Linked DNA regions of Lytechinus pictus. The protein of the gene in region 2 purifies or fractionates together with the protein of the main gene of each other region. This does not show direct contact. Links are inferred from orthologs where the notes say so. Each region holds a gene or a part of one and is shown on either strand. Other genes may lie near its edges.

Region 1 (7,545 bases), on a different chromosome or scaffold from region 2:
CAATATATTTTGTATAGACTTATTGTACATATCCAAACAACTTGGGGGCGATCTACCAATCACACCTGAAGCTACATGTAGAGTTAGACAACTTATTTCAGCATTAACCATTTGATAAATTCAATACACCAGCTCCTTATTACACATGGGTAAAGGGTGGCAAATGCAAATTAATATCTTACTAAAGGATATATCATAAAGCACAGGGTGGCATGATGATTTAAAAAAATTGTGTATTCTATAATATAGTAATGACAAGATGATAATCATCCCCTATGAATGTTAAACAGGGTCAGCAAACCATACTTACATTACTAGGTGGCAAACAGACAATAATGTATATTACCAGGGAAATGTAAAATATAAGTTAAGAGGGACAATTTGATGACCCTATCCCATGGACCCTAGTGCAATGTACTATGGATGACCATGATTTATGATTAACTATCATGTGGAGCGTTGTTGCCCAGTGGATAAGTCTTCTGACTTTGAAACAGAGGGTCGTGGGTTCGAATCCCAGCCATGGCGTAATTTCCTTCAGCAAGAAAATCATCCACATTGTGCTGCACTCGAGCCAGGTGAAGTGAATGGGTACCCGGCAGGATTAATTCCTTGAATGCATAAGCGCTGAAAGGCAGCTCGAGCTAAAGCCGGGGTAATAATAATAATAACAACGCGCCTCGGAATAGAATATTTCTAGATAGATGGCGCTATATAAATGCCTATTATTATTATTATTATTATAGCAATTTAAGCTCAGGTTTTTATGTCTGAAACATAATGATAGACTCCAATTATTTATTATAACAACTTAATCTATTGGGGGCCCCAGACATATGTTTGAATAAGTACAAAAGTGGCTCCTAAGACATGTGTTTTGCGAAATCTGTCAAAGAAACTGCTTCGGCTTAAAGGTATTGTTTAACTTTGTGAGCAGCCTATTTAAAAAATTCTCAAACCAAGATGAAACATGTGTACAAGTGCATGTATTAGAACTAATAAACCCTGAAAACAGCCGTTATTGAGAATGAAAAGCTAAAACTACAAGGCAAACCCCGATTTTGTAAATGGGTGTCTAATAGACGCCTAAATAGTACACATAAGTGTATGGGATGAAATTAAGATGGTGTTTCTGGTCACTTTATATTTCAATTTTTGAAGCACTAAATAATTATTTTCGAACGCAATTTTTTCTGGGCTTCATTTTTGTAACATATCACAGACACAGGTGACAAGTGTGACCTTCTAGCTCAGATTTTTTAAAAGTCAAAACAATGTTAACCAATCACTTTAATGCATATATTCGCCATATGGAAGATTGACTTTACGCAAGTTTACCTTTATGTAGTCTACCCAGTATTGTCTACTCATTTAAGTGTGATATTTTAACATATTGTCACAATGTACAGCCCAACACAATACTCACTTGATTCTCATTGAAAATGTATTGATATCCTTATCCAGTTGATCAAGCAAACAGATGGATTGGATGATCATGTTATCTGCTCTGTTCACATTGAACTTGACCTTTGCCCTTGAGTAGCTGTGACCTAGACCAAGTTGTGCTTTAGCCTCTGTCTGAGCGGTCAGTCCCTTGACCAGTCTGTAGAAATGGTACCTCAGACCTTGTAAAAAAAAAAGGAATGTGGTTACTATTTTGATAATTAATGCTCTTTTCAATTTACATAATTTACTGGCGAAGAGCCACAGTCAATAACATCAACAGGTCTGAATTATTCATAGCTCCCAGAATTTATTTTGGCGATTTGAATATGTAGTATTTTTTTGTGTTTCTCTCCTTGAGAACATCCTTACCACAAACATGCTGTCAAAGAACAAATACTTACTGATATCTCTAATTGATCTCACTGCCTGATAGATCAAGTCAAAATTTATCAAAACATAAAATACCATTTCAATTTGTTTTTATTCTAATGCCAAGGCTCAAGATTAATCTATGATCTATCACATGCCTCCACTGTGCATTTGACATCCTTTGAAGACAGTCCCCTATTAGAAAGTTTTTACCTCTTGCGATCTCCTGGAAGACTCCTCCCGTCTGACAGGGGATACCTAGTTCCTCCTGGATAGAAGCACCTATCTTCCCATCGGCCACACCCAATGTGATCTTCTTCCTCTTCTTAGAGCTCTCTGGCATGTTGGTCTCCAGGAAGAGTTTCAGGTCTTCTGTCATCACACCTGAGACACAATAAAAGAACACAAAAAAAGAGGTTATATTTTCTAGGGTATCAACATACCTCTTGACCAATTTAAAGAAAAATAGGAATGATCTTGCTAAAAAAATCAGGAAACAGTAGTTTTCATAGGATCGTGTAGTAAAGTTATCAAGAAACGTAGGAAAATTGTCTCAAACAGGGGCTCAAAATGGCAAAAAAAGATCACATTCTTTCCTCCAAATTCAGAATGATTGAGAGGCCTGAATCGAAGGGCGAATATCATTCACATTGTTGTAAGTAAATAGGAATCGATCTGTTGTAAAATTTCCAGTAATTTCCTGCCACAGACCATGCACATGTCTTCAACAAAACTCAACCAAAATACTACCACCTGATGATTTGCAAAATATACTTCACTACAGGCTCTAAATTTTTTATTCATTGCTTCTTTCTCTGTTGAACGAACTTCCTAGAGTCTGTGCCATCATGATCAAGTAATGGAAGTTGGGGTTCAACCACAACACAGCTTTTATGTCCTTGAGCAAGAGCTACATTGTGTATTATCAAAACATCAAGTATAGGAAATGCTATTAAACAAAATCAGTATCAACATTTTCATTTTTATTTTTATTAAAAAAAAAAAAAAATTATTGGCAAAATTTACCTTCTGAGATGCTGTTGATATTGTCAAGTGCGTTGACCCCTGATTTGAAAGGCGAGAAGGCCTGAAGCTTGATCAGAGAGGCAAACTTGCCAAAGTCTGTCACAGATTCCTGGACTTGGTGATGAAGGACAGAGACCTCCTCAAACTCCTTGACTGCAAACAAGCCGTAGCCTGATGCATGTTCAAATAAAATCATCATAGCCTGGGTGAAAAAAGAGAACAGAAAATGGAACAGGATAAAATGGATCTGTAAATGGGTTTGACGAACATGTACTTAAACATAGTTTGAGAACTCTGAAATAAAGGAATGGATAGCTCACAAGTTTCTAGTATATTTCAATTTACATGTGAATGGTGGGAGTAATATGGTGTTTACCACATGATTACATGCATGTTGAGGCCAGAGTTATCTAGTTATTTCATTTAAAACTGTTACACTGCTTTCAGTAAACAGACACTAGTTTGTTTCTCGAGTACGCCCCCCCCCCTTCACAGCTACATGTAGGCATTTTATTGAATAAAACAATTTTCAAAATTTACATTTACATATTAAAAAGTAAAACAAACAGCTAGTGTGTGTAAAAATCAATAAGAAAAAGTGAAACAACATGCCAAGATGGTACATGTAAAATAACAATACAAGAAGAGAACCAGAGGTATTGATGCAAAAGAAACATTACCCAATATAAATAATAGGCCTACATGTAGATTAATGAAGTTTGACCAACATCTTTAAAAAGAATTTTGTTTCAAATTTTAACAAGAGATCACATTCTCATATATATGAAAATGTAATTCTTTACCTCAATTTTCTGTACGAGGTGAAATCCAGCCAATTTAGTTTTATGTATTATCCATTTTACCCACATTGTATTTACGGCTCTATTTTGCTTAAAAGCTTGGTCTCAACCAGCCATACTTGCAAGTGTGTGCTGTCTGCTTTCTAAAAACATGGGCAAAATTTGCGGATCATATTGAGTACTGCCTCCCTACGGATTTGGGAGCACGCAGACAAGACGTAGCACTTTTATGACACGAGGAACTTTCGCTTTACTCTCATTACGGGTGATGCGCATGCCCTCTACTGCCAACGTTAATCACACTTGCAACTTCCAAAATTCACAAAAACATTACGATTTCATATTCACAAATCAAAGAATTCATATACCTAAAACGACTAACCAAGGTTAGGTGTTTGAAAAGTATCTACGAAGGTTGTATCAAAATCTACAATTGCAAAGCAAAATTGCAATGGAATTATGTGAGAGCTTTTGAATATCATCACGGTGCAGCGTATTGGCCAGGCCAAAAGCCAGGCTACATGTAGAGATCCGCAGTCAACACGCACATTTAGTGGTGCACCAGTCACTTTGTGAAAATCGCTGTTGTGATGTGATGATACCGGTACTTGTACCTGGTACTGCACTGGTATTATGAGTTGTCAAATCATATTCTTACACGGTACCTTTTTTTTTTGTCTTTCATTCCTTCCTGTTTTTATTTTTTTTATTTCCATCCCTAGCTTCTTTTCTTTTCATTCTTTACTTTTTATTTTTTCCCTTCTTTCTTTCCATTTGAACTTTTAAGAAATTATTTCCTTCATTTCTCTTTCCTTCTTCCTTACTTTTCTTTCTTTCATTTTTCTTACTTCCTTTTTTCCGTAGATCTATTTCGTTTTTGTCTTTCTCTCTATTCTCTCTTTTAGGGTTGACAATTTTTTTTTTTTTTTTTTTTTTTTAATAAAAAAAAATTGGATTTAATTTTTTTTTTTTTTAAAACAATATTTTCTAAAACAAAGTGGAAAGACTAAAAATAAAACCCTTACACTTAACTCAAAATCATACATTTCAAAATCATACATTTCACAACTAAAATTATTATTAACTTCTATTCTATTTCATAATTAAAGACAGTCAAAATAGAATTTATATAGAACATATTGTAAGTCATGACGAAGATGCTGTTTCTGCATCCTCTCGTGTTGGGAGCTCCTACTGACTGGTTTGGTCCAAGTTGAGGAACTGCCTTGGTACAGCTAATACTGCAAAGTTAGTGTTCCTATTCAAACATGAAATGAGGATCAGTTTCTTTGGAAGAATTCCATGACTCAGAGACTCACATTCTTGAAAGAGAAACATTCTTGATTTTCAAGCCAAGGACTGAAAATCATGTGTTTAATAGAGAAAACTCCATTTCTCTTTGTTTGTTTAAACCTCCTTTGGCATTTGAGCCATGTTTGGAGCTTTTTGATTGTTTAAAGCATTGATTTGCAAAGCTATGACTTATTGGGAAAAAGTTGCAAGTTTATTTAGTACAATAAACCTGGAGTTGTACATTGCACATGTACATATTTCAATGGAAGTGATTTAAATCAATGATTAAAACAAAATCATGTGGTGAAAATGGAGTAGGGGGCAAAGTGGTAACCACTTATGAAGGATTTATTCATGTTTTGATGATATAAAATTGATAAAATCTTTCTATTTTGAGCAAAAAAAATAAAACTGCCACAAATACAAACAAGGCAAAAGCGATTTTGTGTCTTGCCCACTTAGGAAAATAACCAGAAATATCTTGATTTGCGAGGGCACGCAACAGAATTGTATCAAAACTCATTGGGGCAATTCCATAGGTTGGTGGACATGAGCTTAAAAATTCAAATTCTCAAATTCAATATTTTCTTGAATTTTTAAATACTTTAAGTCCTTCATACATGATGGTTTCAGGAACAAAAATTAAAAAGATTATTTTCATATGTATACTTTGGAAAAAAATGGTCAAAAGTTGTGTCTTCCACTCTGTACAAAAATACAAGAAATATAGTGAAAAATTAAATATGCCTTATTACCATTTTGTTATTGCAACATCATACCACTTTATATATTTCTGATAGAAGAGTCAAATTACTTAAAATACACAACATATTTTCAATTAAATTTGTAGTACTTGTTCAAAAATAAATATTGCAACCTGCTCAGGTGATGTAACGTGAGTAACCAAAAAAACTGACTTTGTTTTCTGAGAGAAAAATTCTTCACAGTAAATTGGTGGAATTTTAAATTCTCTTCCTTCAAACAATCTTTACACTACCACGCGTCACGATTGGCGGGCGCCGCCAAGCCTGAAAATTTTCAGGGCAAATCCGCCAACCCTGAACTTCCCCGACAACCGTGGCCGACAACTGTAAAGCAGGCCTAGATCTACACAAAAACTGAATAATATATAAAAAAATAATCTGCTTTTCAGATCCTAAAGTAAACTTGTCGATTATTTCGTCCACGATTCCTTCCCGGGATTTCTCACTCACTACTACTAGTGCGCTATATACGATACGACCTCGACTCGAGGCCCAATCTCTTTTGTGGGAAGTGCGAAGATGTTTACCTCGCATTTGCGTATCGCATTGCTCACATTATTTACGTCTTTAAAATGGTAGTAAATACTCTCAAAAACAAGTGAGGGGAGAGGGGTATCGTGGGTTACTGGCTTGGGCAATGTAATTTAGATTATTACGAATTTCAGTTGATATTGTCACTTATTATGTCAAATATAAAGTGTGTCAAAATTACTATCAAAATTCGATCGAAATATAGTTTCATCTCGTCCCAGGCCCCAGCCTTTATAGCTACATCTACATGAATTCATTTAATGCATTTCTGATGACACTGCCGTAGAGCGAATTGAGAAAAACTATTCAAAGATCACGTTAATAATAACAAAGCCAATGGAATGGATTGATATAATGTCCAACTCATTTACTTACATCAAAATGATTTATTCACATTTAAATTCTGATTTTACTCCATTATTTCCAAAGTCTTGATCTCTACGTCGATCTTTTGAAACTGTTGATTCATTTCGCGACGGCGTGTCTACCAAGTTCTGTGCCACTGCACTCGCGCTCGCAACGGTCACATTCATAATACAAATCGCACATGGCATCAAAATCCTTGATCCGGGGATCCGATAGTCTTCCAAAATTAGATGGGATCCAAAACTAATTTAATTTGATTTTTTTCATATATTCATTGAATCTGTTATAATTTTCATAATTAATAATCTTTATTAATATTATTCACATTTTTTATCATTACGACTCATTTTTTTAATGTGAGTTATACGTACAGTGTATTTTCATTTGTATTGTTCTTTATTACTCTTTGCCTGCCAATTAAATAATGAGCGCACCTGTCGCGGGCCTGAGAAATGTTTTTAGTCATCACAGTGAATGCTTTATGAATTTGTTGTACAATTGCTTAACTAGGATTTAAAACAAAATATCATTTGAAATTAATTTGTGTAAAGGAAAAAAAGAGAATGGGGGGTGGCCGTGGGCAATGTAGATGAAAATGATGGGATGTTTGTGACTTTGTGGGGGAGGGGATTAAGTTCGTAGCGAATGAAATTAATATTCATTTATGGATGTGTCTACTGTGATTGTGGCTGCATAATCTTTATGGCGATTGGAAAATCCACCTTGGGTCGGTAGAGGTACGTGATTCAATAGATTTTGATAGAAGTACACATTCAACAAAGTGGAATTGGCAATTCATTCACAGATATTCGTTTCAAGTACGAATTATTGAAGTTGATATGTGCGAACGTTTTAGAGGATATCGGATATGTATATCGTTTTTTCACGCCCACAATGAGTTGCTAGTATAATTTGAATATCGTTGGATGAATTTTTCAAGTTCACTTATG
Region 2 (7,205 bases):
CAGTGTATACTCCCAGAACTTCCCCATAATTTATGATACAATATATACTCACTCTTTCTCATTAAGGTTTATACAGCTCTTCAGCATCATCTATAAAGAATGAAATATTGTATAATTCAAACAATAAAAAACAAAAGAAATAGTGAGTGAGGGACATCATCGACTGTCTCATTTGAGTTGTACATATCACTAGTGTTTTGTGAAAAATAAGCAAACTTTAAAATGTCATAGGCTTATTTTACATCCGATTTTGATGGAATTTTCAGCGTTTTGCTAGTTTGATTTTTCTCTAGTTATTAAAATAATCAATATTTTTCTGGGGTGGACTTGACCTACCGGGTGTGTTTCTCAACGGGGTTATTCCCCCCGTATTCCATGATTTAACTGATCGACCCAGACCCCCGGGTTTTGGGACTGAAGCCCCCCCCCCCCCAAAAAAAAAAAAAATCGACCACAAAGAAAACAAATATATATATATTTATATATATATATATATATATATATATATATATATATATATATATATATATATATATAGGTCCTATAAGCGAAGGCCTATATAATTATTTCATTCATGTCGTCAAGTGCTCTAAAATAAAAGTTTTTAATATTCAAATTCAAAAATTTTCTCGCTCGGTCGCTAAACGCTCCCTCGCAAAATATCATCTAAATGAAGAACACATTAATGAAATCAATAATCTCCTGCAATAGCTAAGCTATATAGTAGACTGCCTTGCAACTTAACCTCCATAATGTATTCACCCACCACGAAATGCCATAAAATTGAATAAAACCTGTCGTGTTTTGGACTTTGGTCATCAAAAGCGCTCCGCCTTAGAGCATCTAATCAAGATGGAAAGTGTGCTATACAAATCTAATGTATTATTATTATTATTAGATGTAAATGATTTGACTGGTCTTCAATAGGCCACATAGGATATGTGTATTCTTTTGTGTTATACTGGGATGTTGTGCAGGGTATATCATTTGGCCGTTTTGTTGAATAAGTATCCCATTCAGTATTATTTGCTGCAGGTGTATATAGGCTTAATTACATTATTATTTGTAAAGATCATAAGTGCTTCAAATTCTAGGTTTGGCTTCAAACATTTTCTCCCTGGTCACCACATCCCCTCGTATTTTTAAGGGGTGTCATATTAAAACCCCATCTCCTGCCATGTTCTATACCTTTTTACGTTCAAAGTTTAAAAAACGCCTCAGGACTGGGTAACAATTAACACAAACCAATTTCCTGCCTATCCAGTCCTACCCCCGCCCCCCTTTCTATCGTTAAATGTCCTCATCTACATCTGTAACACCGATCAGGCCCTAATGCATAATAAATGAGATGAAAAATTCTCAAGCATTTTGATTTTTTTTTCTCGGTCGCTATGCTGCCTCGCACAATATTAGAAAATTTCATAGGAGGGTGACTAGCTAATTGGTGTGTATAAGGCTATCCACAATAGGCCATTTTTATTGTATTGAAAAAAACCAACGTCAAAAATATTTCAAGCCCCCAGAAGACCCCCCCCCCGTAAAAAAAGTTAAGTCTATATAGAACCGCGCCTGCGTGTATAGCTTATTCCTCCATTCTTTCTTGTTTTCTCTCCATCTTTATCCTCTTTTCTCCTAGTTCCTCCCACCCCCCTCCTTAAAAAAACCACAAAACATAAGAAGGGGCACGCCTCACATTTTTAGGTTTTATAAGCTAGCTTGCACATAATGCGATTTCAGCTTAATTAGGCCTACAAGGTCATGAAAGTCAGAGGCCTGTTGCGAAAAAGAAAATCTCTGGCAATTGTAACAGCTATTATAGGCCCACGCAGCCCACCCCCCCCCCCCCCCAGCCCTGAACCTTAAAGGGGAATCCAACCCAAATAAAAACTTGTTTTTATAAGGAAAGGAAAATTCAGACAAGTTGATAGGTGAAAGTTTGAACAATATTGGACAAACAACAAGAAAGTTATGAATTTTTAAAAGTTGTAAATATTGGTAATCACTATATTCATGGAGACTTCAAATTGGCCGCATATGGGATGTCATAGTGATGTAAGGCAAGGACTACTCTTCCATGTACTCCAATACATATTATGCCTAAAATGTCATTTTTTCAAAAAGTTTTATTTCAAATTATATTTTTCTTTCATGAGGACATTAAACAATATATTACCTGGGTTATATTTAGATAACTGCCCCAGGGGAATGGGTACTTAGGAGAAAACCACAAATCCCTGATAATAAAGTACATGGCCTATGGGAAAGTTGTCCTTGCCCATTGTCATAATTTCCTTACCCAGTTGCCAATTTGAAATCTACATACTATTAGTGATCTCAATTTTAAAGCAGCTATAACTTTCTTATTGCTTGTCCGATTTCTTTCAAACTTTCACCATTCTGTTTAATTCATTTTTTCTCCTTCCCAACACAACATTTTATGGCCAAGGCTGGATTCCCCTTTAAATATATCCGCATGATTTTGTTCGGCCTTCTTGAATGTGAACAAATTTTTTTGATATGTAATGATATTCGTTTGAATAGAAAGTTTTATGAACATGGTGAAGTATAAGTTGTTGCGACCTCAGGTCTATGCGAAGAAGGTCAGCTTTTTCGACTTCATTCTTCCCAACATGTGTTCTTGGGTGTAAGCAAGTAATAAATCTAACAATCTTATTTTGAATAATTATACACTTTTTTTGATCAACCTTTCCAAGACTGCAGTACCATGCTGCATTAGCATAATCAAATAAACACTGTATTAATGAAAAGCTTAAAATGCGTCTGGATTTCGTATTCATGCAGTTTTGGTACCGGTATATAGAAATTTCAAGCGAGCATTAGCTTTTTTTACAATAGATGTACATGAGAGATCACTATTCAATATCAGGCCTAAATACTTCACGGAATTCTGTCTCTTAATTAATTGATTGTTATAGTATATATTGAAATAATCTGTATGCTTAGACTTACCCCGCGAACAAAACAAAATACTTTCAGTCTTACCAACATGTAAGCTAAGCTTATTATCTGTCATCCATTTAACACAATTTGATAATTCTAAGCTAAGTTTTTCACCGATCAGCTTAGGACTTGTATCAGAATAGAGTAAAACACTGTCGTCTGCATATAAAAGTAATTTACTTTCATTAACACAATTACACATATCATTGATATAGCACATAAAAAGAATGGGACCTAATATGCTCCCCTGTGGAACTCCGCAGTTTATAGGCATAGAATATGAAAGTACATTTTGCATGGATACCACTTGACGGCGATTGGTCAAGTAAGACCTAAACCAATTCAAGCATGCTGAATTCAAACCCATCACTTCTAATTTCTTTAAGAGTATTTCATGATTAACTGTATCGAATGCTTTTTTTAAGTCAAGAAGAACCATCCCAACATAACGGCCTTCGGAAATTTCATTCCTAACAAAATCCAACAAGTGAATTAAACATGTTTCAGTAGAATAACCATTCCTAAAACCAGACTGAAATTCATAAATGATTTTGTATTCTTTAAAGTATTTCTCAATTTGAGAATACACGCATTTCTCCAAAATTTTCGACACTATATGCTTAACACACTAATAGGTCTATAATTCCCAACATGAGTTTTGTCTTTCTTTTTGTGTAGTGGTGTGACTTTAGCGATTTTCATTTCATCAGGGAAGGTACAAGTTGAAATATATAGGTTAATAGTGTTAGTTAAAGGTATAAAGACATTTTTTGCACCATCCTTTAAAAATCTAGCAGGAACCAAGTCAAGTCCGATACTTTTTGATATTTTCAACTTGGATAATTCATCTAATACAAACTTTTCTGTGGCAGGAGAAAAATTAAAACAGCCTCTTTGTATACCTTTTATATAGTTTTTTTTTAATTAGGACTGTCGGCCCCAAACTCATTTCTGTCCGTAATGGGGAGCTCACAAGATAATTTATCGGCCACTGTTGTGAAATAATTGTTAAATTCGTTGGCTATCTTTAGATTATCATGACATAATTCTCCTTCAATATTAATAACACTTTTCTGAATATTTTTTTGTTTGTTTTTTAAACCTAACTCTTAACAGACCATGATTGATCAGCAAGTGCGTCTCCACGTAAAGACTAGCACAAACAAAACTTGCTGTTTCAATTCTGAGCGAGAGGGCCTTCAGTACACAAGACATGGATAGGCTGCACATTCAGACCCTATAACTCGAGTGAAGGGTTTGCCCAGCAGCTCACTTGTCTCGGACTTCGTTTTTAGCATACGAGCGCGGCGCATAACATCGCATGCATATATATGTATACGTATATATATATACGTATCCGATCGATCCGATATCCCCATTATTTGCTTTCCATAAGTATACGCACGTGGAGCTCGTTAGGCCTCAGTGAAGCGCAACGCCGAGAGGACCGAAATTCATCTTTTTCTATCCTAACCAATCCAAGAAACTCTCTAATATGGTATGTTACATACTTATTTCGAATTCGTGGTACATTTCACGCATGTTTGATTAATTATTTTAGCATTATTTGTTGAAAATGTGCATCCTGCACAACCAATTTATAATACGGCAATACGATAAACTCGGCTCAGCGATTTATCTCGTGTGCAATTCTAATACTGAATCACGAAAACGTGATAAGATACATGGGATGTTCGTGGGCGAGAATCGCATACGCAGATGATGGGAATGGACTAATGGCTAGGGCCTGTTTCATGACGAACCAAGTCGAACCATGTACCTGTAACTTAAAGGAAAATGAAACCTCTGAACAAAGATAGCTTGTGTGAAAATAGAAAAATCAAAGAAACAGATCAACAAAAGTTTGAGAACAAAAATGAGACAAATAATGAGAAAGTTATATGAATTATGAGCATTTCAGAATATTGTGATCACTAATGCTATGCCTATGACGAGATCCTCACATTGGCAATGCGACAAAGATGTGTGATGTCACTTGTGAACAACTCTCCCCATTACTTTAGTATATATTTCACTAACACTGCCTCTTTTATCACATCTATAAGTAGATCGTGTGTTCTTCTATAAGAGAGCATGTACCGGTAATACAGATTTTTAAAGAATACATCATGGATAAAGAGTTTGTATCACCATAAGAAAAAGCGAAAAGAGACACTTGTTCCAAAGGTTTCATTCCCCTTTAAGTTGTAACGACGCCGAAAGGTTGACAGTTGATGAGGCCTGTAATGTAGGTTTTATCTTGGAAGTATTTGGTCTTGCTTTTGAATTTGATTTGTCTACTGTTGATTGTCTTGAAAATGAAATTGTATTTTGTTTTGATTTTGTACAAAGTACAGTATTTTTCATGTTGAGTTTTCGATTTTTTTGTGTGATTGTGATCTGATGCAGCTGCAGACCTGTCCGTACATTTGTATTTCTGATGAAAAAAAATGTTTATTTTTCTGTTTTTTTTCCCATGATTGATCCGATGTGAACACTAAATAAAAAATTCTGTCCATTACTAGACTTAGTCTACATGGTCTAGCTAGTAGTAGTAGGACCACTCGCTCTGATACTCCGAGTGACAAAGGTGAGATTTTAGGGGGAGAATAAACTCATGCAACAACTTGACCTTTAAAAACTGATATTACCTAGGGATACCTTGGGAAGTTTCTGAATGTAGGCATGTTATGCCTCTATTGAGTTCTAGGTTTTTCCTCAAGATGGCTGGCTCACTTCCGAGAACAGGGCTTTCGTACTTCGTAGCCATATTTTATTTGGCTCATTTTTCCAGCATCTAATGTATCCAGGGCAGCTTCAAAACTGTGCACACTTGGGGCAGTGACAACTTCATTATTTAGGCTATTCCATGTCTTACGTATTCTAACATAAAAAGACTTCCTATATTTCTGGGTCTTTGTCCTTGTTATGAACAATTTTTTACTGTGACCTCTGGTATGTTCACGATATTTTTCTTCGAGATTAAGTTTTGTACATTGATCATAATTATTAAAGTGTTTATATGTTTCAATCATATCACCCCTAACTCTTTGATACGCCAGAGTTGGGATTTTTAATCGTTTAAGTCGTTGTGGATAGGAAAGCTTCCTTAATTCAGGGACTAATTTTGTTGCCCTTCTTTGTACGTTCTCTAATGCATGTATATGTTTTTTCAGTACGGGGTTCCACACAGCATGGGCATACTCAACTTGTGGTCGGACAAGCGACTTATACAACAATGCAAAGTTATTTTTGTCTAGATATACAAAAGTTCGTCTGATCAAGCCCATAAGCCTGTTGGCCTTGTTTATCTTCGATTGCATGTGCTCTTCAAAGCTGAGTTTATCATCAATCACAACACCCAAGTCCCTTTCGGAGGTGACATGTTCAAGCGCATCATTCATTAAAGTGTATGCAAAAGCTTCCTGCCGGTCCTGCGTGATACCAATAGAGAGTACACTACATTTCTTGGGGTTGAATTTCAGCAGCCATTTTTCTGACCCGCATTTCAAATGGTCAAGATCTCTCTGGAGTGAATTGCAATCATTCTGATCTCTTATATACTTGAACAGCTTGGTATCATCTGCAAAAAGATAAACATTACTTCCAGTAACAACATCTGGGAGATCATTGATATATAACAAAAACAGCACGGGCCAAGAACACTCCCTTGCGAAATTCCGCTATCTACATGTCCCCAACTTGAGAACTCGCCATTCACACACACTCTCTGTCTCCTTCCAACAAGGAATGCCTCGAATAACCACCTGTTCATTTATACCAAACCTTTTCAAGCAGTCGACGGTGAGGTACCTTGTCAAAGGCTTTCATAAAATCTAAACAAATTACATCAATTTTCTTACTTTTCACAAAGTTTCACTTCTTTTCCACGCTTCTATCAGCAGCTCAATTCATGAATATTCATGAGTAGGACTAAACATCGAGATCATTTTGCATTTGCATCAGATATGGATGTATAGTCCTCATGAATATTCATGAATTGAGCTGCAAATTCCGCGCAATTTGCCTTTGCGATGTTTTGGAATCGGCAGTAAACTAATACGTTCAGGAAATTAAAGAAGCATGGAAAAGAAGTGAAACTTTGTGAAAGGTAAGAATATTAGTTTTTATTGTTTTTAAAGATCGTGTTGTTGCATGAGTTTTATATTTACCCCCATAAAATCCCACATATATCACTCGGAGTATCAGAACGAGTTCACCACCTTGATGATCGGGTAGGTGAA

The links. The genes of interacting proteins can lie anywhere in the genome.
Region 1: the proteins of NHP2-like protein 1 (region 2) and nucleolar protein 56-like fractionate together in Homo sapiens (co-fractionation; 3 studies listed by BioGRID, with this or other methods). This does not show direct contact. The link is inferred for Lytechinus pictus from reciprocal best matches to the Homo sapiens genes SNU13 and NOP56.

What each region holds. Positions count from the first base shown.
Region 1 is NC_087256.1:9,011,093-9,018,637, forward strand, and holds the start of nucleolar protein 56-like, read right to left. Parts: upstream 3,040-7,545; 5' UTR 3,038-3,039; coding exon 2,842-3,037; intron 2,200-2,841; coding exon 2,029-2,199; intron 1,626-2,028; coding exon 1,427-1,625; intron 1-1,426. UniProt on the Homo sapiens protein: Involved in the early to middle stages of 60S ribosomal subunit biogenesis. Required for the biogenesis of box C/D snoRNAs such U3, U8 and U14 snoRNAs. Part of the small subunit (SSU) processome, first precursor of the small eukaryotic ribosomal subunit.
Region 2 is NC_087254.1:23,672,615-23,679,819, forward strand, and holds the start of NHP2-like protein 1, read left to right. Parts: upstream 1-4,116; 5' UTR 4,117-4,456; coding exon 4,457-4,459; intron 4,460-7,205.